Linked DNA regions of Pelodiscus sinensis. The protein of the gene in region 1 interacts with the protein of each later gene in a biochemical or structural test. Links are inferred from orthologs where the notes say so. Each region holds a gene or a part of one and is shown in the gene's direction. Other genes may lie near its edges.

Region 1 (7,227 bases):
TGGAGCTGTTTAAATTGACTGTCTACATATACACAACTATGTAGATTACATGCAAATAAACTTTGCCAAAAGAACATTATTTAGGTCATAATATCAAGCATTGAAAAGTTAGGATGATCAGAATTAAGGTTCTCTGTGCAACATTAAGATACCATTTTTAAAGTCTTGTGTTTTTACCACAAAACTACTGTCTCTTTCAGTGGAGCGGTGCATAGTGAATGAAGTGTTGCCAATTCATGATTACATCACAGGTTTCATGATATTTGGTGTATTTTCTTAAAGCTCAGCTCTGGGAGTCATTCATTACATGAGAATCTCAGCTTTCATTTTAAAAATTAAGTTTCTAACCCTCATAGTTGTGAAGACAATCTTGACAGCAATTATTTCAGTAACCGGGTTTGGTTCTTTAAAGAATTTGAAACCACAGACAGAGGAATACTTCTTTTTAAGGTCAAACAAAGATTTTTTATTTTTTCTATTTACTTTATAATTAATTTTCAATGTAAATCAATTCACTATTTTTTATTCTTTTAAGACAATATAATATACAAAGAAAAAGCAGAAAAACAGTACAGTTTAAAAAAAACAAGAAATAATAACTTCTCGTACAGATATACCCTCCTGATTTACCTTTAAACAATTTATGGAGTTAACAAATATATAATACTTACATTAAGAAAGATAGAAGCATTGCTTAGATTCAGGAGGTATTCTTTTCTTTATGTTTTTCCTTTTTTTGGATTTTTTGTTGCAACTTACGACCGGTGTTGTTCCCCTTTCGGAGCTTATGTGCAGCAGCGAGATTCAGCGCCGGGGAGGGAGCTCTGGTTGATCAGACCTAGCTTTTTGGATTCGCAACCCGTCCACTCTTGGTCTGTTCCATCCAACCTTATATACCCTGTTTCGGTATTTTGGTACTCCTCCACTCGCCTGACAATTGCTGATGTTAGATTTTTGTTGTCTCATTCTGCCCTTACAAAAACTTTCGTCTGCTCCATTTGGGGTAATCAGCACTTTGTTGCATACTGCCGTCTGAGTTACTTACTTCCCTAAAAGCGGGGTTATTGTTGGTCATCCAATCAAATTTTGTTTTTATTTTACATCTCCTGTATCTCACGATGCTGCCTTTCCTTTACACTTACATTTAAACTGGTGCTCATTTGACATATTCTGGGTAGGCCTCAATACCTTCCTTTCACAAATTCCAAGAAAGGCTCAAAAAAACAGAAAGCAAACAACCCCCACACCTTGCATTTATTATTTTTAAAATGTCATGACTTTTGAACACGTGGGGTTAGCAATAATGGGAAAGAGGCAACTGTTCAATATTTCTTATTTTCCTTCATCTTTTACGATGTGTCCCTTTCTCTTATTTAATGCACACCACCCCTGTCATGCATTATTTATTCTTATTTATTTCCTTATGTATTTTTGTGCTCATCTGTATAGTAGCTGAGCCTCACAAATACTAATAAAAAGCTCTCCACATTTATACTATGAAATAAGAAAGCACCATTATTCCCAATTTAAAGATGGGGAAGCTGAGATTGAGACTTGCCTGAGCCTGAGGTCACAAAGCGTATCAATGGCAAAACAAGAATTAGAACTCAGACATTTCTTAATTACCCAGTCTGTGCACATGTCTCCAAACCACACAGTATTACTGCCAGTGCCAGATGTTCCATATGCCCACAACTCCCATTGATCTTGTGAGCACTCAGCACTACTATGAATCAGGCTCCAAGCTGGCCTATCTAAATTTGGGCATTCAGAAAATAAGGAATGCACTGTTAGTGGCCACCTGATAATATTCTGGTTTAAGTAACTTGCCCAACATCATATAGGAAGCTTGAGGCAGAAGCAGGGGTGGGACTGAGCTCTCCTCTACAGTATTAACTTGCCTAAGCCACAAGACCATCTTGTCTCTTTTTGCAGCCCGTCCTTCCTCATAATCTTTAAATGTAGGGTTATCATATTTGAATGTTCAAAAAAGAGGACACCCCTAAGAGGGAATGTATCTGTATCAGTATCTACCAATGTGTTACATTAATATAATATAATATAATATAATATAATATAATATAATATAATATAATATAATATAATATAATATAATATAATATAATATAATATAATATAATACAGATATATTCCCTCTCGGGGTGTCCTCTTTTTGAAAGTTCAAATATGGAAACCCTATTTAAATGTCTTCTAACTTCGGGGAAAAAATGGCAGGGATCTTACGAACAGCTTCATTCACTGCACAATTGTGATTCCTTCCTTCAGCACTGGACCTTCTGTGTGCAGTGATTAAGAATATCACATAGTGTTTTCTGAGGGTTTTGTTCTCAAATGGTGCTTAGCTCTTTAGAGTTCTTTGGTCTTGCCCCCTCAATTTACCTGTCACTTTCAGAACTCCATGTACTGATTGATCTCCCGATCTGATCCTCTGACCCAGCGTTTCCCAATTTTATTTGGCCACGGAGCCCTTTTCAGCTTAAAAGAATTTCAAGGAACCCCTAGGGTTACCAGAGTAAAATGTGTTAAGAAATAAATAAATAAATAAATAAAGATCCACCAGAACTGGTCGAGCAAAAAATAAATAAATAAATAAAAAAAGCTGCAAAATAGACTGTGTCTTTAAGAGAGGACAGGGGAGTGCCACATTCTCACGGAACCCTTTCTTTTGCTTTGTGGAACCCTGGGGTTCCGCGGAGCACCAATTGGGAAACACTGCTCTGACCAATAGACAGCTTCTTCTGTTATTGTAACATGTGTAATACTGTCTTACTTATTAGAGCATTTATCAGGAAACTGCAAGTAAAACACCAGCACACACAAGCTGCACTTAATTTCTTCTTAGACTCCAGACCAGATTGGATACAGGCCATCCTCACTATAAGTCCAAGATACGTTCCAAAAAAACCTTGGACTTATAGCAAAACTTAAAACGGGGAATTTTTTTCTCCCGCGGCTGACTTTCATTTATGCAAAAAATTTTTTTTTGCATGACTTAAGAGCAGGGAATGGAAGGACTTATAATGTATCAGTTCCTATAAGCGTCAACAACTTTAGTGTGGAACGGATGTATACCAGGGTGACTTATAGCGGGAACGCCTTGTACAACAACATCATATGAAAGCAAGTCAAGAATTTAAATAAAGGATACCTTCTGATGGAGGGGCTGTCGACACTGACCATTACACATGGGCTGTGTCTAGACTGGCCAGTTTTTCCAGAAAATCAGCCGCTTTTCCGGAAAAACTTGCCAGCTGTCTATACTGGCTGCTTGAATTTCTGCAAAAGCACTGACTTCCTACTGTAAAAAATCAGTGCTTCTTGCGGAAATACTATGCTGTTCCCGTTCGGGCAAAAGTCCTTTTGCGCAAAAGGGCCAGTGTAGACAGCTGAGATTTGTTTTGCACAAAAAAGCCCCGATCGCGAAAATGGCGATCGGGTTTTGTGGAAAAGCGCGTCTAGATTGGCACAGACGCTTTTCCGCAAAAAGTGCTTTTGCGGAAAAGCGTCTGTGCCAAACTTTTCCGTTAAAAGCATTTCCGGAAAATCATGCCAGTCTAGACGTAGCCATGGTATCTGGTCCTGTAAGAGCATGCAGGGGTGGCCTCTCAAGACACCTAGACCTAGCACTTCACTAACTTATTGATAATGCTCTGATTTGGCAATTGGCCCTGGCCTGTCTTAAGTCTTATTTTCACTAGGAAAGGCAGGCTGGCTTCCCTCACCCCGCTTACCCTGATCAGCCAGTGTGCTAGAATTACAACTGCCTTGGCTACACACACACACACACACACACACACACACACACACACACACACACACACACACACACACACACACACACACACACACACACACACACACACACACACACACACACACACACACACACACACACACACACACACACACACACACACACACACACACACACACACACACACACACACACACACGCTTCCAATCCCCCTTTCTGCCTAGTGGAGACGTGTCCTGAACAGGCGTGGAGCCCCTGGAGTCCCTGTCGGGCGCCTCGCCCTTTCAGAGCGTGCTGCTCAGCTCTGCGGCAGGCTAAGCCCTGGCGGGCCCCGGGATGCTCTCTTGGCGGCCTGCTCCTTTAAGAGCCGCCGGAGCGGCGCAGGCGGGTGGGGCACGTCTCGGGCTGCGTGGCCCTTTAAGAGCCCAGTTGTGGCCTTTGAAACCTCGCTCCTGGGGGGACACTGGGCTACACGCGAGCCCGGCTGGGCTGTTCCCTGGCTCCTCAGGCCGGCGATGCCTCCCCTGCGCCGGGCCGCGGCGAGGAGCGCGGTGCCTGTCTCTTTAAGCGCGCGCCCCGCCCCCTGCTGCTCGGTGCGCGGTGCGGGCTGCGCTGCAGGGGCCGCCGGGGCGCCAGGTAGCGAGGGGGGCGGGCGGGTTGCAGGTGCCCGAGCGCGGGGGGAGAGGAAGAGCCGGGGGGGGGGGCGCGAGGCCCCCCCTCTGTCCTGGCCCGTGGCAGCCCCAGCGCTTCCCTCCGGCCGCTCCGCTCGCGCCAGGCTGCGGGCGCTGCCGGGGAAGGGCCTTGGCCATGCCGCCCCTGCCCTCCGCTCGGCCGCCGGGGCTGCGCCCGCTCGGGTGGCCCCCGCAGCTTGCTCACGGGGCAGGTGGGTGCTGAGCGAGCACCGCCCCAGAGCCCTGCGGTCACGTGAGCTTTGTGTTTGTCTCCCCCAGACGGGGTGAGGGTCCTGCGGGTGCAGCGCCCCTACCCCCACCATGGCCATGAGGGAGCTGGTGGAGCCAGAGTGTGGGGGCTCCAACCCCCTGATGAAGCTGGCTGGCCACTTCACCCAGGACAAGGCCCTGCGGCAGGAGGGTCTGCAGGGTTCCTCGGCCTGGCCGCCTGCAGGTCTTGGGGCAGAGACAGTGAGTACCAGGGCATGGGGTGGAGGGTCCTTCTGCCAGCTCCTGTGAGGCGGGGTCCTGGATCAGTGAGGGTCAGGGATGCACTGGGGGGGAGGAGGAGTGAGGGTCTGAGTACAGGGGAGGCTATCAGAGCAGGTGGGAGTGGGGAGGCAGGGAGTCTGGTTGCCCTATCCCTGTTGTGGAGGCTGCTTGTGGAATCACTAGTTAAAGTAGTAGTGGTGGTGGTGGTGAGGGGATGTATGTCCAGTCACAGCAGAGGTCTGCCCAGAAAGGGGAGATATGGTGGCTGCCTCACCCATAGAGTGGGTCTGCCTAGGTGGGATTTTGGTCCTGCTATGTGTGGGGGGTGTCATATCATTCCCATCATAATGGGTGACTGATGCTGTAGGCAAGGTCCCACCGCTGGGGTGATTGTTTGCCTACTTTTCCCACAGGTCTCCAAACCTTTGGGAGTGGCCTCTGAAGATGAGGTAAGAATAACTGTATTGCTCTCCATATCACCTTTCTTACTGCCACATTTTCTTGATTCCTCTTCACTCTTTCCATCTCTCATTCTCTGGTTTTTGTCCTCCCTTCTCTTTCTCCTGTTTTCTGTCCCAGAGTCTCTGCTGGGTATTCCCCCTCACCCACTCTTTCTCTCTCCCTGACAGCTGGCTGCAGAATTCCTACAAGAACAGAATGCCCCCCTACTCTCCCGTGCCCCACACACCTTTAAAATGGATGATCTGCTGGCTGAGATGCAGGAGATTGAGCAGTCAAGCTTCCGCCAAGCCCCGCAACGAGGTGAGGTGGTGGAGATAGAGTTTGGGGCTTCTGCAACCCCTACCTACACCTCCCCGTGAGGTGGTATGTCTGGAGGGGGACTGAATTTAAAAAGCCTGCTTAGCTAGAGCAAGGGGTGTCTGTAGATTAAGAGACAAGAATTTAATCCTTGTGGGGGTGTGGCACTTGGGGCTTGTCACTGAACTCTCCCCCATCTCTTGCTGTCCCTAGCTCCAGGTGTGGCAGCCCTGGCTCTGTCTGAGAACTGGGCCCAGGAATTTCTGGCGACAGGAGATACCACAGCTGATGTCTCTGCAGATTACAATGAAGCTGATTGGTCACAAGAGTTCATTGCAGAGGTGACAGGTGAAGGCTCCTCTTGTGTAGATTGGGTGGTGTGTTGCCTGGTAGTATGTCCTACTCTGTTCTCCCATGTAGGAGTTGTCTGTTATGTGAGAGAGACACTCCAGACAGTGCTCAGGGCACTTTGCACAAGCAGCACGTGCCTCAGTGGGTCACACTGGTACAGTATGCGGGGTGAAATTACTCTGATCTAGAGTCCGTGTTTAAGGCCCGAGGGGACTACCAGATCAGTTAGTCTGAGGTCCTGCACATCACAAGCCACCAGCATCCACGCTAGGGATGTAATAGTGTAGTCGCTTAACTGATAAGCAAAAGCTAATAGGTTAATGCTATAGACCAGTGGTGTGCAACCTTTTTTGATCTGTCACCCCTGTACTGCGGAGGCCACCAACTGCTGGGCCCACCCCCTGGCCGGCCAGATCTAAGCACCACGACCCCCCTGGAAAGACATCTGCGACCCACAGGTTGTGCACCACTGCTATAGACTACATGCATTTCTGCCCCCCCCCCCCCCCTTGCCAGCACATTTTTTAGCAGGTTGGACAGCATCCCAGTTCAGTCCTGGCTTGCACTGGGTCCTGGACCTACTCCTGCTGTGCCTCTGCATTTAAAGTGTATTAGGAGCAGGCAGCCTGTCTCAGTTCTGGCTCGTGCTGAGTCCAGGAGCTCAGACCCCTCCCCCACTGGACAGGGGCTGCCCAGGGACTCTAGAGTAGCTGACTAACTGATAAGAATTCATGAGGTTAATCGACTAATCAAGTAACTGATATTTAACATCCGTAACAATGCCCTTTGACTGAAATAAGAGTGTCCTGAGAGATTTGCACCAGCTTGTTGCACCAGGTGGGGAAGAGTTGCCCAAGGCTATACAGCATATAGGTGGTGTGATATGGACTGTAGTCTGCTCCAGATCCCTCCACTTCAACCAACTGAATCCCTACATTAAACTGTTGGGCAGCAGTTAAATAGCTGCTATGCCCCACCCCCGAGGGGGCTGCTTTTCACTGATCCGTGCAACCATCCATATTTATTTCTTTCATATACCTGTTGGAGACAGGCATCTAATTAACATTTATGATGATCTTTGACAGGCTCTGATGAAGAGCTAGAAATTTGCATCAGGAAAATGAATTCTTCATTGCAAACAGCAACCCAGTTTGCTGTTGTCCAAGATTTCCTTTAAAA
Region 2 (7,581 bases), on another chromosome or scaffold:
ATGCTGCCCCAGGTCACCATGCCCTCCTGCCCCAGGTCACCATCCAAACCCTCTGCACTTCCCTCCACCAGACCACAACTCCCTCCCAGACCCTACATCCCCTCAAACATCCCTCCCCAGGTCAGAATCCTCTCCTGCACCCTTACCACCTCCTAGGCTCTGCACCCCAATCTCTTGTCCCAAGTCACAACCCCCTACTCCACTCAAACTCCCTTCCAGACCCCTCTCCTGTAACCCAGTCCCCTACCCCAACCTCCCTTCTGCACCCAACCTCTGTCCCAGACTCTGCATCCCTGCTATAGAAAAATGTGGCCCTTGACCACTTACCAAAATCTTTTGAATGGCTCCCTATCAAAAATCATTGCCCACCCCAGATCTAGAGGTTGATCATGCTTCTGAGATGTACAAACAGATCTTTTTATTTCACAGGAAAATGGGGCACAGTGAAATCATCTGGACTTGTGGAAACCATTTTGTATGATCTGGGGTTTAAGACTATGGTCAGGATGAAGACAGGCAGAGAAATGGACAGGCTAGGGGCATCTAAACAGTGGCCTGGTCCAAAACCTATTGAAGTCTATGAGTCTTTTCATAGACTTCACTTAGCGTTAGGTCGGGTCTACTGTTTTCCCTCCATACCTCAACAAATTAAGAACAAATGATAATATAGTTCCACACTTCATTATCTTTTCCACAGAGACTTTTGATCAGCGGCTACTGTGACCATAGGTACACACTGCTAGCCACACAGCCAGGAAACCAGGGTCATTGGGAGTCAATATGGAGGCATTGGGGCTCTGCAATAGCTGGCTTTGGCTTCCTACATATCCCTGAGACCTCTTGAGCTTTTGTGGGTGCCTGGGTGGAACTCATGGGCTGATGCGGTTGGTCTCAGCAAGGGCCTTCAGAATCTCTTCTCACTGGTTTTTCTGAGGGAAGAGAATCATTTGGGCCTTTGTTATAATGAATGAAGTTCTTTTTCAGGATTTTCATGTACTGCTCTATCTACCTCTTGATCTCATCCCTATTAAATATTCACTTTGTAAGATTTTCCTTGAAATGTTGGCCATTCTACAGGGGTGGTATTTTGGGGATTGCCCTGACCCACTGAGGTTTCTGTCACTGTCTGCCTCTAACCTAGGCTGCCTTAAAGCTGAGCTGCTATAGCTCAAAGTCCTGCCATTGCTAGCCTGTCCACAAGCAAAATAATCTCACTCTGGCTTCCAGCAGTCTTGTTACACTTTGCAGGGTAACTATTTGTTATGTTAGTCATGCAATAACTGCGCGCGTGTGCGGGTGGGTGAGTGTAGACTTAGCCATTGCTGTTTTTTCTATTATTTCTTTTCCTCCATATTGAGAAACGACTACAGCACAAATTATGGCCATAGTTTTATATATTCAGAAATACATAAATTCATAACCGGAGTCATTATTTCTCATAATGACCATCAACTTAAGAACATTACAAGTTTTCGTGAAAGGCCTTACTTAGTATACTTTTATATGATGGTAACTCTGTATATAATCAGTTGATTCAAATGATTATTCTTTGGGGTTCAATCCCTGTTCTCCCTCTGAGGTGCTGGCTGGGATCCTGATTCTCACATCAGGTAGAGGGGGCATGTCTAGTCTAGAAAATATACACCTTTTATGATTGCCTTCTGTTTGTGTAACCTTTTTGCAGAACTTTATTATTCATATTTACCTTTCTAGATAGTATGCAAAATCAGTTGATGAACTTTCTCCAACTTTTTGATGTGCCAGTGGCAAATTGTCCATGGTATAATATGGGAATTGCTATAGTATAATAAATAAATGTTGATTTAGCCTTTTGTATGGTATCGCTCTGCTTTGAAGCTCAATGTCACAAGTAGCATATGCTTTTTAATTTTAGCAAGGATTTTGCAGTCATTGACGGTTCTACCTGACAAAACATCGACCAATTTCTTATTTGATTTACATATTACACATCCCCACCAAAGTACTGGCATTCCCCACGCTCCTTCTTGCAGCTCAGGGCAGCACTGCAGGTGAGCCCCACCTTAAAAGTCCCTAACTGGAATAGGTTTAACAGCCTGGAGCAAGAAAAGTAAACACACACTAGAAAAGTACCAAGTCCCTTTTTAATAGTTTCAGGGCAGAAGCAATTACAATACAGGCAGTCCCCAGGTTACGTACAAGATAGGGACTGTAGGTTTGTTCTTAAGTTGAATCTGTATGTAAGTCGGAACTGGCGTCCAGATTCAGCCGCTGCTGAAACTGACCGCCAGTTCTGACTTACATACAGATTCAACTTAAGAACCCCAAGTCAGCTGCTGCTGAAACTGATCAGCCACTGATTCCAGGAAGCCCGGGGCAGAGCAACTGTGCCTCGGGCTTCCTGTAGTCAGCGCTGGTCAGTTTCAGCAACGGCTGACTTGGGGACGCCTGGGGCAGAGCAGCTGGGGTGCTGCAGGGTTGGTCCAGTAGTGCCCAGAGCGGCGCTGCGGGACCAACGGGCAGCACCCCAGCTGCTCTGCCCGAGGGTCCACAACAAAAGCCTGGTCTGCTGGGGGGGGGCACACTACCTGCGCCCCCCCCCCCCCCAGCAGACCAGGGACACGGGGAGCAAAGCCGCAGCGGCGGGGTGCCTCGCCTCTGAGGTTTTGCTCTGGCACGGGACCCGCTGCGGCTTTGCTCCCGGTGCCCCTGGTCTGCTGGAGACGGTCCCCAGCAGACCAGGGGCACCGGGAGCAAATCCGCAGCAGCGGCGGGGTCCCGCGCTTCTGAGGCTTTGCCAGAGCAAAGCCTCAGAAGCGCGGGACCCCGCCGAGGCTGCGGCTTTGCTCGTGGTGCCCCTGGTCTGCTGGAGACGGTCCCCAGCAGACCAGGGGCACCGGGAGCAGCTTTTCTTGCCCCGGTGGTCGAGGTGGCTGACCGCTGCCTTCGAGCTCCGGGGCGAGAAAGCCGCGTTCGTAAGTGCAGATCCGACATAAGTTGGATCCGCGTAAGTCAGGGACTGCCTGTATACAGTTCATAAGATCCTCACCTCAGAAGCCTCATTCAGACTTCTCACACTTTAGAGTTCACAGAACGGAGTCTTTGAGGATATAGTTGCACCACAACTGAGAGAGGTGTGATTCCCAGAATGGGTAGACAAGTTCACACTAGTTTCAGTCAAGATAGTGCATTACGTATATAGCAACATGAATGTTGTGGCACTAGCAGCAGCTTGAAATAAAGCCATTGCTGTTGCAAGTAAGAGGGGATATAAAGACTGATTCTGAAAACATTTAGCCTATGTCTACACTGCAAGCTTTTTGTGCAAGAACACTTGTTCTTGTGCAAAAACTTGCTGAGAATCTACACTGCACGCGCATTCTTGCACAAGTAAATTTACAGTAAAGCATCGAAAACAGGGCTTCTTGTGCACGTTATTCCTCTCCCCGTGAGGAATAAGCCCTCTTGCGCAAGGGCTCTTCCACAAGAAGGCAGTGTAGACAAGCAACAGGGGTTTCTTGTGCAAGAAAGCCCTATGGCTAAAATGGCCATCAAAGCTTTCTTGTGCAAGACAGTGTCCACACTGCCATGGATGCTCTTGCGCAAAAGCACATCTCTTCCACAAAAGCACATGGCAATGTGGACGCACTCTTGTGGAAGACCTTTCGCACAAGAACTCTTACGCAAAATGGTTCTTGCACAAGAAGCCTGCAGTGTAGATGTAGCCTTATTGCTGCCCTGCACACTCTCAGGAATGTCTATCAGGCGCAGAACCTGTATACAGCAAGACAGATCCTTGATGGTGCCTGCCCGCACAGCTCTAGGGAAGTAAATGAAGCAAGGCTCATTTGACACCAGCTGATAGAAGACTGAGGATGAGAAGAGTCATAAGTTCCAAGGCAGCTAGTCTGACCCCCTGCATAGCGCACAACATCCCCTAGGGAGGCTGAAGGGACGAGGAGTCCTGTGGCACCTTATAGACTAACTGAAGTGTTGGAGCATAAGCTTTCGTGGGCAAAGACCCACTTCGTCACATGCATCTGACGAAGTGGGTCTTTGCCCACGAAAGCTTAATGCTCCAACACTTCAGTTAGTCTATAAGGTGCCACAGGACTCCTCGTCGCTTTTGCAGATTCAGACTAACACGCTACCCCTCTGATACTAGGTAGGCTGAGGAGCTCACGGGAGTCAGTGGGCTCAAGTTCAGCCCGGCCTTGTCTCAGCAGAGAAGGCGGCGGAGGGCGGAGCGCCCTGCCAGCTGTGCGCATCCCGCCCCTCAGAGCTGCTGCGAAGGCGGGTGAGGAGGGAGCTGGCGGGCAGCGGGCAGGAGGATGCTGGTGCACGGGCACCCCATCAGGCCCCACGTTTCACCGCAGTTTCCGGGGCTGGTCGGGGGACGCCAGGCTCGAGCTCCCGCTGTAATCGTGCGTCCCACCCCGAGGCCCTGTCCAGAGCGGGCCGGGGGCGGGGCCCAACCCGGCCTGTTGCCCCTGACAACAGCCAGTGGGCGGGCCCCGGAAGAGAAGCTGCGCGGCCGCGTCTCGCGCAGGCCCCACAGGGCGGCGGCACCGCTTCCTCAGCCCCGCCCCCTTGCCGGGCGCTTCCGGAGCCGATCCCACGTGCGCGCGCGCGCGCGGCGGGGACTGGGCCGGGGTCAGGGGGCCTCGCTTCTCGCACCGGCCCTGCGGCCATGAGCGCCTGGGCCTTCCGGTTGCCGGGGCGACACGGCTACGCGGCGGAGTTCTCGCCCTACCTGCCCGGCCGCCTGGCCTGCGCCGCCGCGCAGCACTACGGGATCGCCGGTGAGGGAGGGGCCGCGTTTCCCCCCCCCCCGGCCCCCCCATCCTGGGACGGGGCTGCTGGGGGCGCCCACCCCCCGGAAGCCGCAGGAGGAGCCCTCGTGCCCTCCCTTGGGCCGCCGCGGGGCCCTGCCCGGTGCCCGAGCCGGGTCTGGGGAGCCCGGGAAGTGCCCCGGTCCGAGGCCTCCGCGTGTCTCTTCCGCCTTCCCCGCGCATCAGCCTGTGCGGCTCGCGGGGTCTGCCTGTGTCGCTGGGCAGCGGCGTTTGGTCCGCCCCCTGCTGGGAGCCCGCTGGCAGCTGTCAGGCCTCGGGCGGCTTCTTTCCCCCTCGGGTGCCGCTTCCAGAGACAGCGGTTCTGGACGTGGGGTGCGGCTACTGACTTGGTCCTCTAGGAAAAACCTACCAGGCGTCCCTGTGGCAACTTAGAGACTTAAGAGATTTATTAGGGCAGAAGCTTTCTTGCTTTTTGAACGCTTGTGCCCTAATCAACCTGTTCGCCTCTCAAGTGTCACAGGGCTCCTCATTGTTTTTGCACATACTAACAGGGTTACTACCCCTCTGAGACTTTGGTCCTCTAGATCAGTAAAATACCGTGTTTTGTGGGGTTTTTTCTCTTGCCCCTGTGTGGACAGAAGTGTGTGTGCGCGGGGTGGGGAGATTGCTCATGCTAACTAGCATGTGAAATATGCACGGGGATCTTTTGACCTGTCAGTTACTGAGCTGAAGAGTTAGGGCACATTCTCACTCTGCTGTTCTATCAGAGTTTTCAGTTTCTCTGTGTTTAGAGACAAAGTCCCATGGTCACATAGACTACAAATATTTTCTAAATATATATAAAATGGAGGCTACTACTACTGATGTGGCAGTTTTCTAATTTTAGATAAAGGGTACTGTCAACTTTAAGCTTCTGTATTGCAAACAAATTTGTATTCTGCTAAGAAGAAGTTTAGGTTATTGAAAGTGAATAAGTATTTAAAACCCAATTTATTACTTGCAGTTTTTGAGAGAATGTTAAGAAAAATTATATGTTCACATAGTCCCAGTCATGCTAATATTTGCAATGAGAGTACACCTGTTAAAATCAGTTGGGCTACTTGTATAAATCCTGGCACTCACATGCAGAAGTGTCTGTTTGCATTACGTTTGAGGCTTTTCAAACTTTATTTAGTGGTTAAATTACATTCTGAACTGTTCATCTACCTTAAGAATTGTATTGTTACTGTTTGCAGGCAGAAGGTCCTACAAATGATAATTTGCAATGTCTAATAAAAATGGGTACTTTATAAATAGTGCTTATGTTCCTGTACAGCAGATGCAGAAAAAAACTCTGTTAAAAATAACAAAAATAAAACATTGCTCTTTTTCATTAACCTAGCCATAGCCTTTCATTAGCTACAGAAGGAATGTAGCTACAGTAAGCCAGCATAGAATTCCAATCCTTCAGACACTTAAGGATACTAGGGATGCAAAATGCTGGTTAATCATTAACTGGTTAAACCTAAGGTTTAAGTGGCCTCCCATCCCATCCCTTCTACCTGCCCCTTCTGCTCCCAGCAACTCCTGTGCAAGAAGCTCCCAGCTTCTGCTGCCACCCACTCCTTGCCCCTGCAACCCATACCCCCAGCTGCTCCCGGGTACCAGTTAACCAGAAACCATTTGATGTTTTGCCGTTTCACTAAAATGGAAGTAATAGAACCAGGAGTGTTTTGCTTTCAGAAAAAAAAGACTATTGGCTGAGACTACTGAGATGTAGCTGCTTCATAGCAGTGAAAGGATGTCTATTTTATAGTACTTTAGTCTCCCATTGGCTGTAAGAGTTTGGTCTGATTTCAGTTGCTGTATTTAGCATATGGAGGTCAATCGGTCAAACTGGTGATCTAGTCTTAAACACAGTTGGTAATTAGGTAGCAGGTTACTTTATAGCAGTTAAATATTGTACTGATTCTTTCATTCTAAACTTTCTGGTATTGTTTCATTTCTGGGAGGGAGATAATGTGTTTAAGAGGAAAAAAACCCAGATCTTTTCTATTTAACCAACCATAACAATATGGATGATGGGTGGGTGGAGATGGGTGACCCATTAATACTTCCAAAAATATGTACAAAACTCATAAAAATACATATTGAAAGTATGTTGCCAAATACTGTTTAGCAAATCAGGGGAACTGCTTTTGGAAAGAAAATCCAGTAGTAAAGGCACTCATTTCAGCCTTGTATATGATTTTTTTTAGTTGATTTGATGTCAAAAAAAGTGACAGAAGCCTTGCATATTCACATGGTTACAGTTAATGCGTTTGTATGTGCAAATAGGGCATTATGTTGCTAACTAGACATTTAGATATTTAAGTACTTATTTGTATGTACAGATTTGTCCTGAATTATGGAATTTTCCTGACTTGTCCTGAATTATGGAATTTTCTGGACCTCGGGAGATCCCCTGCCACTGGCTCCCTGCCTGCTGCCTCTCAGTGCTCCTGGCTCCTCTATTACTCCAGTTGGTCCCTCTGCCTCTGGATCCCCCTACTGCTGGTCCCAGACAGACTATCAGCCCTGCTGTCTTTGACTCCCATGTTGACCAGGTTGTCAGCCCTGCTGCTGGGCCATGGGCTCTAGTTTCACCCCTGCACTGCTGTGGACTGCTGGGTGCTTTGGCCCTGTGCTGCAATGGACTGCTGGGGGCTCTGGCCCCACATTGCTGGCCCTCCTGCCACAAGTCTCCCCAAGTTCTCTGGTGCAAGAACATCCTGGATATTGCTGGACCAGAGAGTGTCAGTTTTGGTAGGTGCAACTTGCATTTGGAAAA
Region 3 (7,820 bases), on another chromosome or scaffold:
AATCCCAAGGATAGTTACTTAGGAAAAGAAATCCATCTAGTACTGACACAGCAACCACTCCAACAATGACACCTAGGCTGTGTCTACATAGGCACCCCTTTCTGGAAAAGGGATGCTAAGAGACCAGTCGGAATTGCAAATGCCGTGGGGGATATTTAAATCCCCCGCGGCATTTGCAATTCCGACTGGTCTCATTAGCATCCCTTTTCCGGAAAGGGGTGCCAATGTAGACACAGCCCTAGAGTCTGTTTCCCCAAAATCACTTTGGGGAAGAAAGCTAGAAGAGGCCCTATTGTGATTGTGCTTGGGATAAGCTACAGACCCTGGAATCCAATTTAGATATGAATAGAGGCATCTTTAATGAAACACTCCTGCAAATTGTGTGATTATGGGAGTCTTTGATTTCTCAAGCATAGATTGGAGGACAAGTGTTACTATTAATGGCAGGACCCAGATACTCCTGGATGTGAGAACTGATAGATTTCTTCACCAGTCACCAAAACAAGAAGAGATGCCATTTTAGATAAAATATAGGTAAGTAGTGAGGACTTCATGGAAGAACTCAGTGTAGAGGACAATCTTAGTTCAAACAATCATGAGCTAATTCAGTTTAAATTAAATTGAAGGATATACAAAACTAGATCTGCAACTAGGGTCCTTGACTGCAAAAGGACAAACTTTAAAAAATTAAGGGAATTAGGTAGAAAAGAAGACTGAACTGAAGAACTCGAGGATGTAAAGGTGGAGGAGGGTTGGAGTTAGTTTCTGCAACTTTTTACTTAAAGTACCTGAAGCCACCATCCCAAGCAAAGGATGGCTTGCAGACCACACTGGATGAGCTAACATGTCAAACAGATTATCAAGAGAAAGCAGAAAGCCTACAAGGAATGGAAGATCTATCCTAACTCTTGGAGGTCAGTGTATAGAAAAAACAAGAAAAGGAAATTAAAACCCAAAATAAAAGGTTCTATAGCTATACAAAGAAAAAGAAAACAAGGAAATAAGAAGTGGGACAGTTAAGCACTGAGGATGGGGTGGAGATTAGATAGTCTAGGCATAGCCCTACACTTAAACCAGCAAAACTGAGACTGCAGCTCACAAGGGACATCTCCCATTGTTCTTTTCAGCAAGATATTTACACACTGTGTGATTTAACTATTAACTAATCTAAGCTATTAAATAATCAAGATGCTTTTACTATGTTATTAACCAATTACTAACTTATTTGCTATGAGAAAACTTTCGATATCAACTATAGCAAATGAAAACAATGAAATACTATAGCAAATTAAACAATGAATTCACACTACTATGTCTCTTTTGAGTAATGTTGGTTGCTAATTTGGCTCTTGAATCACTAAGGCCTGAGTATTGCTGACTGAATAGAATACTTTTTGCCTCCGTTTTTAATAAAGAAAACAAGGAGCTTAAGGGTACTGTCAGTGTAATTGATGAAAATGAGGTAATGGAAGTAAAAATAATCACATCCAGGGTAGAAGTCTGAATAAACTTAAACATCTTAATGAGACCAAACCAGGGGCCCAGATAATCCCCATTCAGGACTATTACAGAAACTGGCATATGAAATTGCATACCCCATGACAAGGATTTTTAACGAATCCATAAACTCGGGGATCATATCCTATGATTGGAGAATTTCTAATATAGTTACTATTTTTAAGAAAAAAATACATCCAAAAACTATAAGCCCATTAAGGGTGAGGCTTACTAGTTAAGCATTTGTGTCACTAAATCAGAGGACTGTAAAACCTACCTTACAAGAGGAGACTCAAGGAGCCTCACTTACTTAGCCTAACAAGACAAAGGCTGAGGGGAGATATGATTGCTCTCTATAAATACATCAGAGGGATATATACAAGGGAAAAAGAGGAATTATTTAAGTTACTGGTCAGTGCTGGCACTGAGACAAATCAATACTAACTGACCAACAACAAATGTAGATTTGAAATCTATCAGAGGAGTAAAGTTCTCCCAAGATTACAGTGGGGATGAAAAACAACCGACTTTTAGACAGACTGGTAAATTTACACAGGAGTCCATGTGATGAGACTGCCTACACTGGCAGGTGACCCATCTGTGCCTTATTACCAAATATCCCCAATTGCTGGATAAAATTAATGGAGATTGCCTATCTTGTAGAACTGGAAGGGACCTTGAAAGGTGATTGAGTCCAGTCCCCTGCCTTCACAGTAGGATCAAGTACCATCCCTGACAAATATTTGCCCCAAATCCCTAAATGGCCTCTGCAAGGATTGAACTTACAACCCTAGGTTTAGCAGACCAATGCTCAAACTGCTGAGCTATCCCTCCCCCCAATATGGGATGCGGACAACTCTAATGACTTATCTATGCTACTGCTTAAGTCGATATAAGCTCAGTTGCTAAGCAGTGTGGAAAAAACCATCCCTGAGGAACATAACTTAAATGCATTTAAAGCAGTTCCTACAGGAGACAATCTCCCACATAACTTCTTCTTTTACAGTGGAGTAATTAGGTGGATCAGAGAGTGCTCTCTCATCAACATAATGCATCTTCACCAGATGCACTGCAGCGGCACTGATTTAGTATGGTAGCGAAGATAAGTCCTACATTACTACAGAGGATTCATGGGGTTGGGTCATGCATGGCTAATAGACCTCTGGTGCAAAACTGAGGAGACACAGGTGCCCCACTTCAAGGCCAAGGCTCTTCACAGCTGTTTGTCTCAGCTCTATACCTCTGCAGGGCAGGGATATAATACTGTAGTCAATTAACCAATAAGCAAAAGCTTATATGTTATCACCCTGGGTGTAGGAGCTCAGACCCACCCCAGACAGTGGCTTCTGCTACCCCGTACTGCTGCCTCTATCACAGGCAGCAGCACGGAGTGGCCAGGGGCTCCTCGGGAGTGAGGCTGGAGTACACTGGCTGCCAGCTCCTGCCCCAGAGACTACAGAATAGTCGACTAACCAATACGAATTCATAAAGTTACAGACGGTCCCCGAGTTGTGAACGGTCGACTTACGACCAAAACTGTTGCAAATGGCAAACCCCGAGTTACGAACGCAATCAGCGCTTACGAACAGCACGGTCACGTGTAACTCAATGTTAACATCGGGTGGGTGCAACAATGGGAGTAAGAAGCACACACCTCCTGCATGCACTGGGATAGTCAGCAAGAGAGTGTCTCGCATGCATGTTCCCACCAATGATTTACGCATTTCCTAGTTGCTCCAGAACTGACAGGCTTCAGCAGGGGCATATGACCCTTCTCTCATCTTCTCTTTGCTTCCCCATCAGAATCTATAATTCTGCAGGGAAATCAAATAGTCAGGCAGAGGGGGAGAGCTGCAAATGCACTGTGACACAAAATTCTCCCTAGACCTTTTGACTTTAAAGCCGATGAATGTATAATGGCACCCACCTTAACCATATGTGGAAATCTGAGTGCATATTGGATAGAATGCTATTAAGTTCATTCACACAAAGATCATATGTTCAAATATATTAAGGGGAATCCCTATCACAATTAAACATTAAAGTGCCTATGCAACTATATACAGGTTGAGCAATAGGATGATCACAAGCATCCCAGTGCATTTAAAAGAAGATAACCCTGCCCAGCCTGATACAAAACCAGCTAGAGCAACATGGGTGGACACTGATGGCCACGCCTTTAGGCAGGGTTACATTAAGAAAGGGGCTTTAGGAGCTGCAGCTTAGGGCCCCGGGCTAAGGGGGCCCCCCAAAAGATCTTCAGGATGCCAACTCACAGGGTTTTTTGCAAGACCCCCTCCACCTGGGGCTCTAGGTTGCAGCCACTAAAGCCCTTATGTTTTAGCCCTGAAAGACTGAGGGGGAAAGGCAGCTCTGTGCACTCCAGTTCCTCCTCCACTACCACCGGGATGGAGCTGCAAAGCACCAGAAGCTCCCCTCCCTGAAGCTCCTATTGTAGATAAATCATGGCAAATGGAAGCTATGGAGGACAGTGTCTGCAGGCCAGAGCAGGGCAACATACAACTGTCTCCTGCCCTCTCTCCTCCCCTCCCCAGAGTCTGGGCTACCAAAAATAAAGCACCCCACTCCCCCACCGCATTTCTCTGCCTCAGCCCCGAGCTCCTTCCCGCACAACCTCCCACCCAAACCCAGGACCCCGCACCTCCTGCCCTGAGTCTCTCGCACACCCAACCGCCGGGCTCACCCCAGAGCCCTCTCCCGCTTTCGGACACGCTCATTTTGCCCCGCCCCCAACCTGACAGCCCGAGGGCCGCAGAAGAGCTGATTCGGCCCCGCCAGGCCGCAAATCCCCGCGCAGCACCACGCGCCGCCACAGGGCTGAACACCTGCCTCGGGCGCTACACTCCCGCACGGACCCGCAAGCTGCTCTGTCCCCGGCGCGTCTCCTACCTGCTCCGCCCGGCGCAAGGAGCGGGAACCATTCACTGTCTGCACACTGGACGCAGCGTGCGCGCGCATTACCCTCCCCCCGGCAACAGGCGTCCCAGGAGGAACGTTCCGGAGCCGTCACTCTACCCGGGGTTTCGCGGAAGTGGCCGCCGCGTCTTTCGCATCACGTGCCCTTCCGCTGCCGCCAGTGACGAGCCTGCCGGCGACCCTCAGCAGGGAGGGCGGAAACGCTCTGGGAATCGGACAGAAGGCAGCAAAGCAAAGCTGGGGAGGCCTGAGCAGCGGCAGCCAGAGACATCGATCCGCACGCGCGGCCGGGCCCGTAGTCACCGCCCCTTCCGGCGGCTGTGCCGCTCGGCCCTCCCGCTGTCAGGCCTGGCAAGGCCGCGGTCAGGTGGGGAGGGAAGGGGCGGGACTGGCCTGGGTGGCTCGGCCGGGCGGGCGCCGCGGAGCTGCAGCGCAGGAGATGGCGTCTCAGCCGCCGCCCCCCAAGCCCTGGGAGAACCGGCGCCTCGCGGGCACCGCGGCCTCGGCCTTCCAGTGAGTGCGGCCCCGCCCCTCTCCCGCCTGCCAGGAGCGGCCTGGAGCCTGCAGAGCGGTCGTTAGTGAAACGTTACCGGGGGTACAGCCAACCCAAAATGGCAACTCCGGGGGTGGGGGGGGGAGAGACTCTCCCAGGATCTTCCCCCAGCCAGGTCCTGCCCCCCTTCCCACAGAGGGGGAGAGAGAGACTTCCTGTGGGAGGGACCCCGCCATGCCCCCCTCCCTCGACTCGGTCACGTGGACTTTGCCCCCTCCCCTACACACAGTGCATGCAGATCGTTGGGGCAATGTGAATATTAACATGACTATGGTCCTGATTTTGATCCTCTGGATTTACTTAGAGCTGCTGATTTGGGTGCCAGCTTGCTGACCAGGCCTGGACAACCCACACTCACACGAGTACCTCCGCCTGTTTTGCCAAGACCATCACAGCAGGCAGGGAACAGTAACCTGAGCACTTTCAGACCTGCGTACAGCAGTTCCTTTTCTCCAGGCTACAGCTCGTATGGAAACTCCTTTTATGGAAGCTACAGCCCTTATAGTTACGGATATGGCGGTTTGGGTTATAATCGGTTTCGTACAGATGATCTGCCGCCCAGCAGGTTTGTTCAGCAGGCCGAAGAGAGCAGCAGAGGTGCATTTCAGTCCATTGAAAGTATTGTGCATGCATTTGCCTCAGTCAGTATGATGATGGATGCTACCTTTTCAGCTGTCTATAACAGTTTCCGGGCTGTATTGGATGTAGCCAATCATTTCTCCCGACTCAAAATACACTTCACAAAGGTGTTTTCAGCTTTTGCATTAGTCAGAACTATAAGATACCTCTACAAACGACTGCAGCGGCTGCTGGGTCTGCGGAAGAGCTCTGAGAATGAGGATTTGTGGGCTGAAAGTGAAGGAACTGTGGTTCGCATTGGCTCTGAGGACCGGGCAGCTAACTCAGCAAAATCCTGGCCCATTTTCTTGTTCTTTGCTGTTATTCTTGGGGGCCCCTATCTCATCTGGAAGCTGCTCTCCACGTACAGTGATGAAGAAACAGGTAAAGGAGATCAACAAAGTGAAGGGTGTATAGTTTACGGAATATTCTTGCCATAATTATATTAGTAAATTATACTCTAAACATGCTGAATTAAATATGGTGATTGTGATTAAGGTATTAAAATAGCCTGTTCTTTGATCCCACGTTAATGGATCCATTCAGTTCTCTTTCAAAGAGGTCCTACTTCTAGAGAAGGGAAGATTTTACAGCTGAGTTCTGGGTCTGCTTCACATGCATACAGCTGCTGAATTAGGATTCTTATACAGACACTTATGTAGCAACAAGATTCAACTAGGTATTGCAGTATAGCCTTTTACTAATAACATTCATTATTGAGGAAAAAACTTGGGAGTTTGCTTGCTTGCTTGCTTTATTCAGTCTATCAGTGTGTTGATTTGAAATAGAAACTTCTGCAAACCAGGACACTTATATGCAGAGGCCTAAATATGGATTCTGAAGCCTTGCTTGAAGCACCTAAAAAGACTGGTAATTGCATAGTGCCCTATGTGCCTGTTACTATAATAAATGTTTGTACAACACTTTTATTATATAAAGTGTTTCATAAATGTTACAGAGTCCTGTATACTTAGTATAATTGTGGAAAAATTTAGTTTGAGTTTCACTTTAAAGATCCAGATGATTTTGCTGCTTTTTAACTTTTCTGTGAAACAGTGGCTAATAACTGGGCAAATGGAGAGGATGATCATGTAGTGGGAAGAGCAGAATATGACTTCTCTGCTGTTTCAGAAGAAGAAATTTCTTTTCATGCTGGTGATATGCTAAAATTAGCACCCAAAGGTAAGATTATGATTTATGGTAGACTTATTTTCTAATTACCTTTTTAGTGCTTAGATTCATAAAAACAGGCTCTTGAGATCAAAGGAGATGTATTTTAGTTGGCCTGTCTCAACAGACAGTGATTGTGTGGAAGCTCTAGAGAAGGGGTCCTTAGCCTTTTCCTTTCTCAGTTCTCCCTCGACATGTTATAAAAACTCCAGGGCCAAGGAGGCATTGGAAGGACTCCGGTCTCCAGGCTAGGGGAGGGTCCGTTGGGGCATAGGCATAGTTGAGCTTTTATTTTTGGCAGGGGGTAGGGTGTGGAGCAAGGGCTGGCGAGGCTTGGTCCAGCTGCACACAGCACAGTCCAGGAAGGGCATGCCATTTCCACTTCCTAACTCGCAATCTAGACGCGGTTATTTCGGGGGGGAAACCCTTTCTTGAAAGAACCCATACTTCTCATTTTTTCAGGAGTACGGGTTCTTTCGAAAGAGGGTTTTTTTTTTCCCTTCGAAATAACTGCGTCTAGACTGCAGTTTCAATTTTGAAATACAGGCAGTCCCCGAGTTACGTGGATCCGACTTATGTCGGATCCGCAGTTACGAACGGGGATTTTCTAGCCCCGGACGACGGGAGCGGCAGGACGCCCGGTCCCGCCGCCCGCATCCTCTGGGGCGAGAAAAGCTGCTCTGCGTCTCCCTGGTCTGCTGGGGGGGGGGGGAAGGGGAGACAGATGAGCGCCGCGGTCCCGCCCGGGTCCTCCGCAGCTTTGCTCAGCGTCTCCCTGGTCTGCAGCACCCCAGCACCAACCCAGCAGCACCCCAGCTGCTCTGCCCCAGGCGTCCCCAAGTCAGCCGCTGCTGAAACTGACCAGCGGCTGACTACAGGAAGCCCCGCCCCGGGCTTCCTGGAATCAGCCGCTGATCAGTTTCAGCAGCAGCTGACTTGGGGATGCCTGGGGTTCTTAAGTTGAATCTGTATGTAAGTCGGAAGTGGCGTCCAGATTCAGCCGCTGTTGAAACTGATCAGTTTCAGCAGCGGCTGAATCTGGACG
Region 4 (7,405 bases), on another chromosome or scaffold:
CCCCCGAACTCTCCCCCATCTCCCTGGGCCAGCCATGCTGCCCCCGAACTCTCCCCCATCTCCCGGGCCAGCCATGCTGCCCTCGAACTCTCCCCCATCTCCCTGGCCAGCCATGCTGCCCTCGAACTCTCCCCCATCTCCCCGGGCCAGCCATGCTGCCCTCGAACTCTCCCCCATCTCCCAGGCCAGCCATGCTGCCCCCGAACTCTCCCCCAACTCCCTGGGCCAGCCATGCTGCCCCCGAACTCTCCCCCAACTCCCTGGCCAGCCATGCTGCCCCCGAACTCTCCCCCAACTCCCTGGCCAGCCATGCTGCCCCCGAACTCTCCCCCATCTCCCTGGCCAGCCATGCTGCCCTCGAACTCTCCCCCATCTCCCTGGCCAGCCATGCTGCCCTCGAACTCTCCCCCATCTCCCGGGCCAGCCATGCTGCCCCCGAACTCTCCCCCATCTCCCTGGCCAGCCATGCTGCCCTCGAACTCTCCCCCATCTCTCCGGGCCAGCCATGCTGCCCTCGAACTCTCCCCCATCTCCCTGGCCAGCCATGCTGCCCTCGAACTCTCCCCCATCTCCCTGGCCAGCCATGTTGACCCCCGAACTCTCCCCCATCTCCCTGGCCAGCCATGTTGACCCCCGAACTCTCCCCCATCTCCCTGGCCAGCCATGCTGCCCTCGAACTCTCCCCCATCTCCCGGGCCAGCCATGCTGCCCCCGAACTCTCCCCCATCTCCCGGGCCAGCCGCGCTGCCCTCGAACTCTCCCCCATCTCCCCGGGCCAGCCATGCTGCCCTCGAACTCTCCCCCATCTCCCCGGGCCAGCCATGCTGCCCCCGAACTCTCCCCCATCTCCCCGGGCCAGCCATGCTGGCCCCGAACTCTCCCCCATCTCCCTGGCCAGCCATGCTGCCCTCGAACTCTCCCCCATCTCCCCGGGCCAGCCATGCTGCCCTCGAACTCTCCCCCATCTCCCCGGGCCAGCCGCGCTGCCCCCGAACTCTCCCCCATCTCCCCGGGCCAGCCATGCTGCCCTCGAACTGTCCCCCATCTCCCAGGCCAGCCATGCTGCCCCCGAACTCTCCCCCATCTCCCTGGCCAGCCATGCTGCCCCCGAACTCTCCCCCATCTCCCGGGCCAGCCATGCTGCCCCCGAACTCTCCCCCATCTCCCTGGCCAGCCATGCTGCCCTCGAACTCTCCCCCATCTCCCCGGGCCAGCCATGCTGCCCCCGAACTCTCCCCCATCTCCCAGGCCAGCCGCGCTGCCCCCGAACTCTCCCCCATCTCCCTGGGCCAGCCATGCTGCCCCCGAACTCTCCCCCATCTCCCCGGGCCAGCCATGCTGCCCCCGAACTCTCCCCCATCTCCCCGGGCCAGCCATGCTGCCCCCGAACTCTCCCCCATCTCCCTGGCCAGCCATGCTGCCCTCGAACTCTCCCCCATCTCCCTGGCCAGCCATGCTGCCCTCGAACTCTCCCCCATCTCCCAGGCCAGCCGCGCTGCCCTAACCCCCTGCTCATCAGCCCCATCTCCTCCGGCCAGCAGTGCTGCCCTGACCCCCCGCCTGCCAGCCCCCCCATCTCCCACAGCCACCCTGCCCCTGCCCCCCCTCCCAGTCCCCCCTGCCCAAGTGTGTCCGTTATTTTTTCTAAACCTACCCAGTAACCTTACTCCCTTACCTGGGGGGAAACCTTTTAAAGCAGCCCCACAGCCCTTAATTGGCTGCAGGTGCCGGATTAGCCTGCTGCCTCAGGCAAGCTCGTAATTAGCCTCCGGAGCATGGCTGCCTTCATTACAGGGCCGCAGTCTCTGGCAGTTTATTCAGGAAACGGAAAACCATTCACCCAGCTCCTGGCATGCCTGCCCGCCACCAAACCATTGCAGCCAGCTGCCCTGGGTCGTCACACCTGCTAAGCCAGGGCCTGCCTCGCCACCCTGCACCCCATGGACTTCCCTGGCACCTTGGGCCTGGTCCTACAGCACTGGAGAGACGTTCGCCAGCCTTCCCAGGCATCGGAGCTGGGCCCGAGTGGGGCTGAGAGTGAGGCAGGGCAGGGAAGTGGGAGGGGGAGGAGAACATGAGAAGGAAGAGAGAGATTGTGAGAGTTCAGAGCGCCCACACGCCACCTGACTCCCCTTTGCCAAGCTGCGCTGCGGAGCCCAGGCCACAAGCACTGCAGCACCTGGGCCACGCTGCCCACGGCTAAGGGGCCGGAGGGATGTGTCGGGAAACTGTCACGTTACTGGATGTTAAGGGGAGCAGCCGGGCCATGGGGGGGGTGCCCCAAAAGTGGTACAAAGGGGCCATGTGAGGTGTCAAACAAAAGCTAAACTTCCCCTGAGTCTGTATCTGCTCTTCATGTGCTTGTACAACGTCTGTGTGGAGTTATGACCATGTAGGGAGGCTGGGAACGTCTGTCTGTGGCTGAGCTATGGGCCAGGAATGCTCAGCCAATGGCTATGCTAATGAGCGAGGCTCTGGGGACAATGGATCTCGAAATGCCGAAGACACACCTGGCTCTGGCCATGTGACCCTCTCCAGCTGGGAAGAGACCAGGGATGGATGTAAAATGCCATGTGGCAGACTCCATTTCTTGTCTTTGGTTTTGCTCCGAATCCCAGATGCAGCCTTGCAGGGAACAATGAGCCAGAAAGAACCATGGACCCATCCTGACATGGGATGTAACCAGAGACTTTTAAGCCAGCAGCTGTAACAATCTCTGCTAGAGCCTGCGTCGAGAACTGGAGAGTCGATGCATGTTGTGACGTAGTGGGGGTACCTGGCTGGTTTCTATGCTGCTGGCTCTGGGGTAACCCCCACTGGCTGTCGTGGGGACCACGACCCAGCAAAACAGGATGAGTCACTATGCAAACCAGTGGCCAGACACCCCCCATGGAGAGGAACAAAGGAAGGTGGAGGCTGCCCTGGCTGGGGGGCAGGGCGGGAAGAGAGTTAGTTAGTGGCTGGCTGTCGGGGAGCATGGAGGAGACAGCCTAGGGAAGGGGCTAGAGTTTAGGGGCCCGGTCTCCCCCCAACTCAAGGGGGCCTGAGGCATCCTAGCCCAGCTCTGTGACCAGATTCCATCTGTGCTGTGCTGTATCCTGGAGAGGCAATAAACTTCCTCTACTCCACCGGCTGGTGCAGTCTGTTTGTGCCATTTCGGGGTGCAGGAGACGGGGGACCTCAACGCGCCGTCACACATGTCATGTAGGATACTTTAACAACCTCACTCTCAGGCTTTTCTTTCTTTAGTAACAAACCTTTAGATTTCAGATTGTAAAGGGTTGGCCCAGTGTGATTTGAGGGCAAGATCCAGAGGGTAAATTGACCTGGGAGCTGTGGCTGGTTCTTTGGGACTGGAGAACCCGTTTGGGGTAGGTGGGGTTGGGTTCTATAACCCCGCACCTGTGTGCAGGCCTGGGGCTGTTTGGGGCACGGAGAGAGCTGGGGTGTCGGGGTTTTGCTCGTGAGGCTTCAGGCTGGCCAGATTGGCAGCTGAGGTGCTCGGTGGGACTGGTTTGTGGCCTGTTCGGAAGGTCTCCAGTCGGGGGGTGTGGGGAGCCCCAAGTTTGAGCAATTTGCCCTGAGCGGACGCCCTCAGCTGCGCCCAGACCTGGCCCGGCCCGTCACAGAAACATCCTGGACTTCCACTCCCCAGGGTCTGAGCAACCTGGAGCAATGACCTCGTGAGTAGGACTCGGGACTCGGGAGAGCTGGGCCTGCTCCGGCTCTGCCGCTGCCCTGCCAGCTGGCCTAAGGCGAGACCCCCCCACCTCTCTGTGCCTGTTTTGCCTCCCATCCTCCTTGCATCTCGGCCACTGAGGCTGGCAGCTCTTCGGGCGAGGTCCCGGAGTGCTCAGGGACTGCGGCTGCACCTCTCACGGCTACCAGAGCTCGGGCACCGTGATGAGAGCAAACCCCCCGGACGGCGAGTGAGGCCCCTCCCCACGCGCCCACATCGGGCGGAGCGGGGCAGCGGCCTGTTATCTCGCTGAGCTGTGGGGAAAGCCGCTCCGACCGGGCAGGTTAGACAAACACCCCCCCGGAGCAGCACCCTGCCCCCGCCCAGCCCCCGGTGCAGAGTTCACGGGCAGAGGGAACAGAGGAGGAGCCAGGGAGCTGCGGGGCCGTCGGGGGGCGGCTGCGTGGCGCTGGACCCGGGCGTTTATTACCAGGGCTGCACAGGGCAGTGTGGCAGGGCGAGGGCTGGGAGTGGCCGCGGCTAGCAGGGCAGACTCCGAGAGGAGCAGGCTGTGGGGCCCGTGGCAGCAGGCCCAGCGGCAGGGTGAAGGTCCACTCTGTGATCTCTGCCCCAGAAGATGCACCGGGTGGCGATGGGCAGGGCCTCCCGAGGGCTCCAGGCAGCGGCGCGGGCTCCTCTCTGGCTGCCTGCGCCCCCAGCGCCCCGCTACCGCGCCATGGCTTCCCAGCAGCTGCTGGTGGCCCCTCCCGAGGCGCTGCGCCAGCCGCTGGCCATCCCGGACAGGCTGCTCCTGGGGCCTGGGCCCTCCACCGTCCCGCCCCGGATCCTGGCTGCAGGAGGTCGCCAGCTCATTGGACACCTCCACAAGGAAATGTTCCAGGTGAGGGCTGCAACTGAACACGGCCGCTCACTCCGACCTTTCCTGCGCCCCCCGGGCACGCTCTGATCCGACCTTTCCTACGGTCCCCCGGGTACCCTCCGATCCGACCTTTCCTGCGCCCCCCCCCCGTGCACGCTCTGATCCGACCTTTCCTGCGCCCCCCCCGGGCACGCTCTGATCCGACCTTTCCTACGCCCCCCCCCCCAGTGCACCCTCCGATCCGACCTTTCCTGCGCCCCCCCCGGGCACGCTCTGATCCGACCTTTCTGCGCCCCCCCAGTGCACCCTCCCATCCGACCTTTCCTACGTCCCCCCCGTGCACCCTCCGATCCGACCTTTCCTGCGCCCCCCCAGTGCACCCTCCGATCCGACCTTTCCTACGTCCCCCCCGTGCACCCTCCGATCCGACCTTTCCTACGTCCCCCCGTGCACCCTCCGATCCGACCTTTCCTACGTCCCCCCCGTGCACCCTCCGATCCGACCTTTCCTACGTCCCCCCCGTGCACCCTCCGATCCGACCTTTCCTACGTCCCCCCCCGTGCACCCTCCGATCCGACCTTTCCTGCGCCCCCCCCAGTGCACCCTCCGATCCGACCTTTCCTGCGTCCCCCCGGGCACGCTCTGATCCGACCTTTCCTGCGTCCCCCCGGGCACGCTCTGATCCGACCTTTCCTGCCCCCCTCCGTGCACCCTCCCATCCGACCTTTCCTACGTCCCCCCCGTGCACCCTCCGATCCGACCTTCCCTACGTCCCCCCCGTGCACCCTCCGATCCGACCTTTCCTACGGTCCCCCAGTGCACCCTCCGATCCGACCTTTCCTGCCCCCCTCCGTGCACCCTCCCATCCGACCTTTCCTACGTCCCCCCCATGCACCCTCCGATCCGACCTTTCCTACGTCCCCCCCGTGCACCCTCCCATCCGACCTTTCCTACGTCCCCCCCCATGCACCCTCCGATCCGACCTTTCCTACGCCCCCCCGTGCACCCTCCGATCCGACCTTTCCTACGCCCCCCCCCGTGCACCCTCCGATCCGACCTTTCCTGCGCCCCCCCGGGCACCTTCCGATCCGACCTTCCCTGCGCCCCCCCGGGCACCCTCCAATTCGACCTTTCCTACGCCCCCCCAGTGCACCCTCCGATCCGACCTTTCCTACGCCCCTCCCGTGCACCCTCCGATACGACCTTTCCTGCGCCCCCCCGTGCACCCTGCCATCCGACCTTTCCTACGCCCCTCCCGTGCACCCTCCGATACGACCTTTCCTACGCCCCTCCCGTGCACCCTCCGATACGACCTTTCCTGCGCCCCCCCGTGCACCCTCCGATCCGACCTTTCCTACGGTCCCCCCGTGCACCCTCCGATCCGACCTTTCCTACGGTCCCCCAGTGCACCCTCCGATCCGACCTTTCCTGCCCCCCTCCGTGCACCCTCCCATCCGACCTTTCCTACGTCCCCCCCGTGCACCCTCCGATCCGACCTTCCCTACGTCCCCCCCGTGCACCCTCCGATCCGACCTTTCCTACGGTCCCCCAGTGCACCCTCCGATCCGACCTTTCCTGCGCCCCCCCCCAGTGCACCCTCCGATCCGACCTTTCCTACGTCCCCCCCGTGCACCCTCCCATCGACCTTTCCTACGCCCCCCCGTGCACCCTCCGATCCGACCTTTCCTACGCCCCCCCGTGCACCCTCCGATCCGACCTTTCCTACGGCCCCCCCAGTGCACCCTCCCATCCGACCTTTCCTACGTCCCCCCCATGCACCCTCCGATCCGACCTTTCCTGCGCCCCCCCAGTGCACCCTCCGATCCGACCTTTCCTACGTCCCCCCCGTGCACCCTCCGATCCGACCTTTCCTACGTCCCCCCCCGTGCACCCTCCGATCCGACCTTTCCTACGGCCCCCCCGTGCACCCTCCGATCCGACCTTTCCTACGGTCCCCCGTGCACCCTCCGATCCGACCTTTCCTACGTCCCCCCCGTGCACCCTCCGATCCGACCTTTCCTGCGCCCCCCCCAGTGCACCCTCCGATCCGACCTTTCCTGCGCCCCCCCCAGTGCACCCTCCGATCCGACCTTTCCTGCGTCCCCCCGGGCACGCTCCGATCCGACCTTTCCTGCCCCCCTCCGTGCACCCTCCCATCCGACCTTTCCTACGTCCCCCCCGTGCACCCTCCGATCCGACCTTCCCTACGTCCCCCCCGTGCACCCTCCGATCCGACCTTTCCTACGGTCCCCCAGTGCACCCTCCGATCCGACCTTTCCTGCGCCCCCCCCCAGTGCACCCTCCGATCCGACCTTTCCTACGTCCCCCCCGTGCACCCTCCCATCCGACCTTTCCTACGCCCCCCCGTGCACCCTCCCATCCGACCTTTCCTACGTCCCCCCCCGTGCACCCTCCGATCCGACCTTTCCTACGCCCCTCCCGTGCACCCTCCCATCCGACCTTTCCTACGTCCCCCCCCGTGCACCCTCCGATCCGACCTTTCCTACGTCCCCCCCCGTGCACCCTCCCATCCGACCTTTCCTACGTCCCCCCCGTGCACCCTCCGATCCGACCTTTCCTACGTCCCCCCCGTGCACCCTCCCATCCGACCTTTCCTACGTCCCCCCCCGTGCACCCTCCGATCCGACCTTTCCTGCGCCCCCCCGGGCACCCTCCGATCCGACCTTTCCTGCGCCCCCCCGCGCACCCTCCAATTCGACCTTTCCTACGCCCCCCCAGTGCACCCTCCGATCCGACCTTTCCTACGCCCCTCCCGTGCACCCTCCGATACGACCTTTCCTGCGCCCCCCCCGTGCACCCTCCCATCCGACCTTTCCTACGCCCCC

Evidence for each region.
Region 2: the proteins of PEX5 (region 1) and PEX7 form a complex in vitro, tested with the Homo sapiens proteins (3 studies listed by BioGRID). The link is inferred for Pelodiscus sinensis from reciprocal best matches to the Homo sapiens genes PEX5 and PEX7.
Region 3: the proteins of PEX5 (region 1) and PEX13 form a complex in vitro, tested with the Homo sapiens proteins (3 studies listed by BioGRID). The link is inferred for Pelodiscus sinensis from reciprocal best matches to the Homo sapiens genes PEX5 and PEX13.
Region 4: the proteins of PEX5 (region 1) and alanine--glyoxylate aminotransferase are reported together in a solved structure, tested with the Homo sapiens proteins (2 studies listed by BioGRID and IntAct, with this or other methods). The link is inferred for Pelodiscus sinensis from reciprocal best matches to the Homo sapiens genes PEX5 and AGXT.

The regions. Positions count from the first base shown.
Region 1 is NC_134711.1:137,879,471-137,886,697, reverse strand, and holds the start of PEX5 (peroxisomal biogenesis factor 5), read left to right. Parts: upstream 1-4,214; 5' UTR 4,215-4,411; intron 4,412-4,725; 5' UTR 4,726-4,767; coding exon 4,768-4,917; intron 4,918-5,351; coding exon 5,352-5,387; intron 5,388-5,567; coding exon 5,568-5,700; intron 5,701-5,910; coding exon 5,911-6,045; intron 6,046-7,227.
Region 2 is NC_134713.1:97,640,020-97,647,600, forward strand, and holds the start of PEX7 (peroxisomal biogenesis factor 7), read left to right. Parts: upstream 1-4,573; 5' UTR 4,574-4,669; coding exon 4,670-4,781; intron 4,782-7,581. UniProt on the Homo sapiens protein: Receptor required for the peroxisomal import of proteins containing a C-terminal PTS2-type peroxisomal targeting signal. Specifically binds to cargo proteins containing a PTS2 peroxisomal targeting signal in the cytosol.
Region 3 is NC_134713.1:180,189,092-180,196,911, forward strand, and holds the start of PEX13 (peroxisome biogenesis factor 13), read left to right. Parts: upstream 1-4,809; 5' UTR 4,810-4,873; coding exon 4,874-4,947; intron 4,948-5,024; exon of another isoform or gene 5,025-5,049; intron 5,050-5,291; coding exon 5,292-5,989; intron 5,990-6,661; coding exon 6,662-6,787; intron 6,788-7,820. Other genes in the region: tRNA pseudouridine synthase Pus10, read right to left, coding at 3,152-3,221. UniProt on the Homo sapiens protein: Component of the PEX13-PEX14 docking complex, a translocon channel that specifically mediates the import of peroxisomal cargo proteins bound to PEX5 receptor.
Region 4 is NW_027465993.1:1,582,345-1,589,749, forward strand, and holds the start of alanine--glyoxylate aminotransferase, read left to right. Parts: upstream 1-4,400; 5' UTR 4,401-4,415; coding exon 4,416-4,580; intron 4,581-7,405. UniProt on the Homo sapiens protein: Peroxisomal aminotransferase that catalyzes the transamination of glyoxylate to glycine and contributes to the glyoxylate detoxification.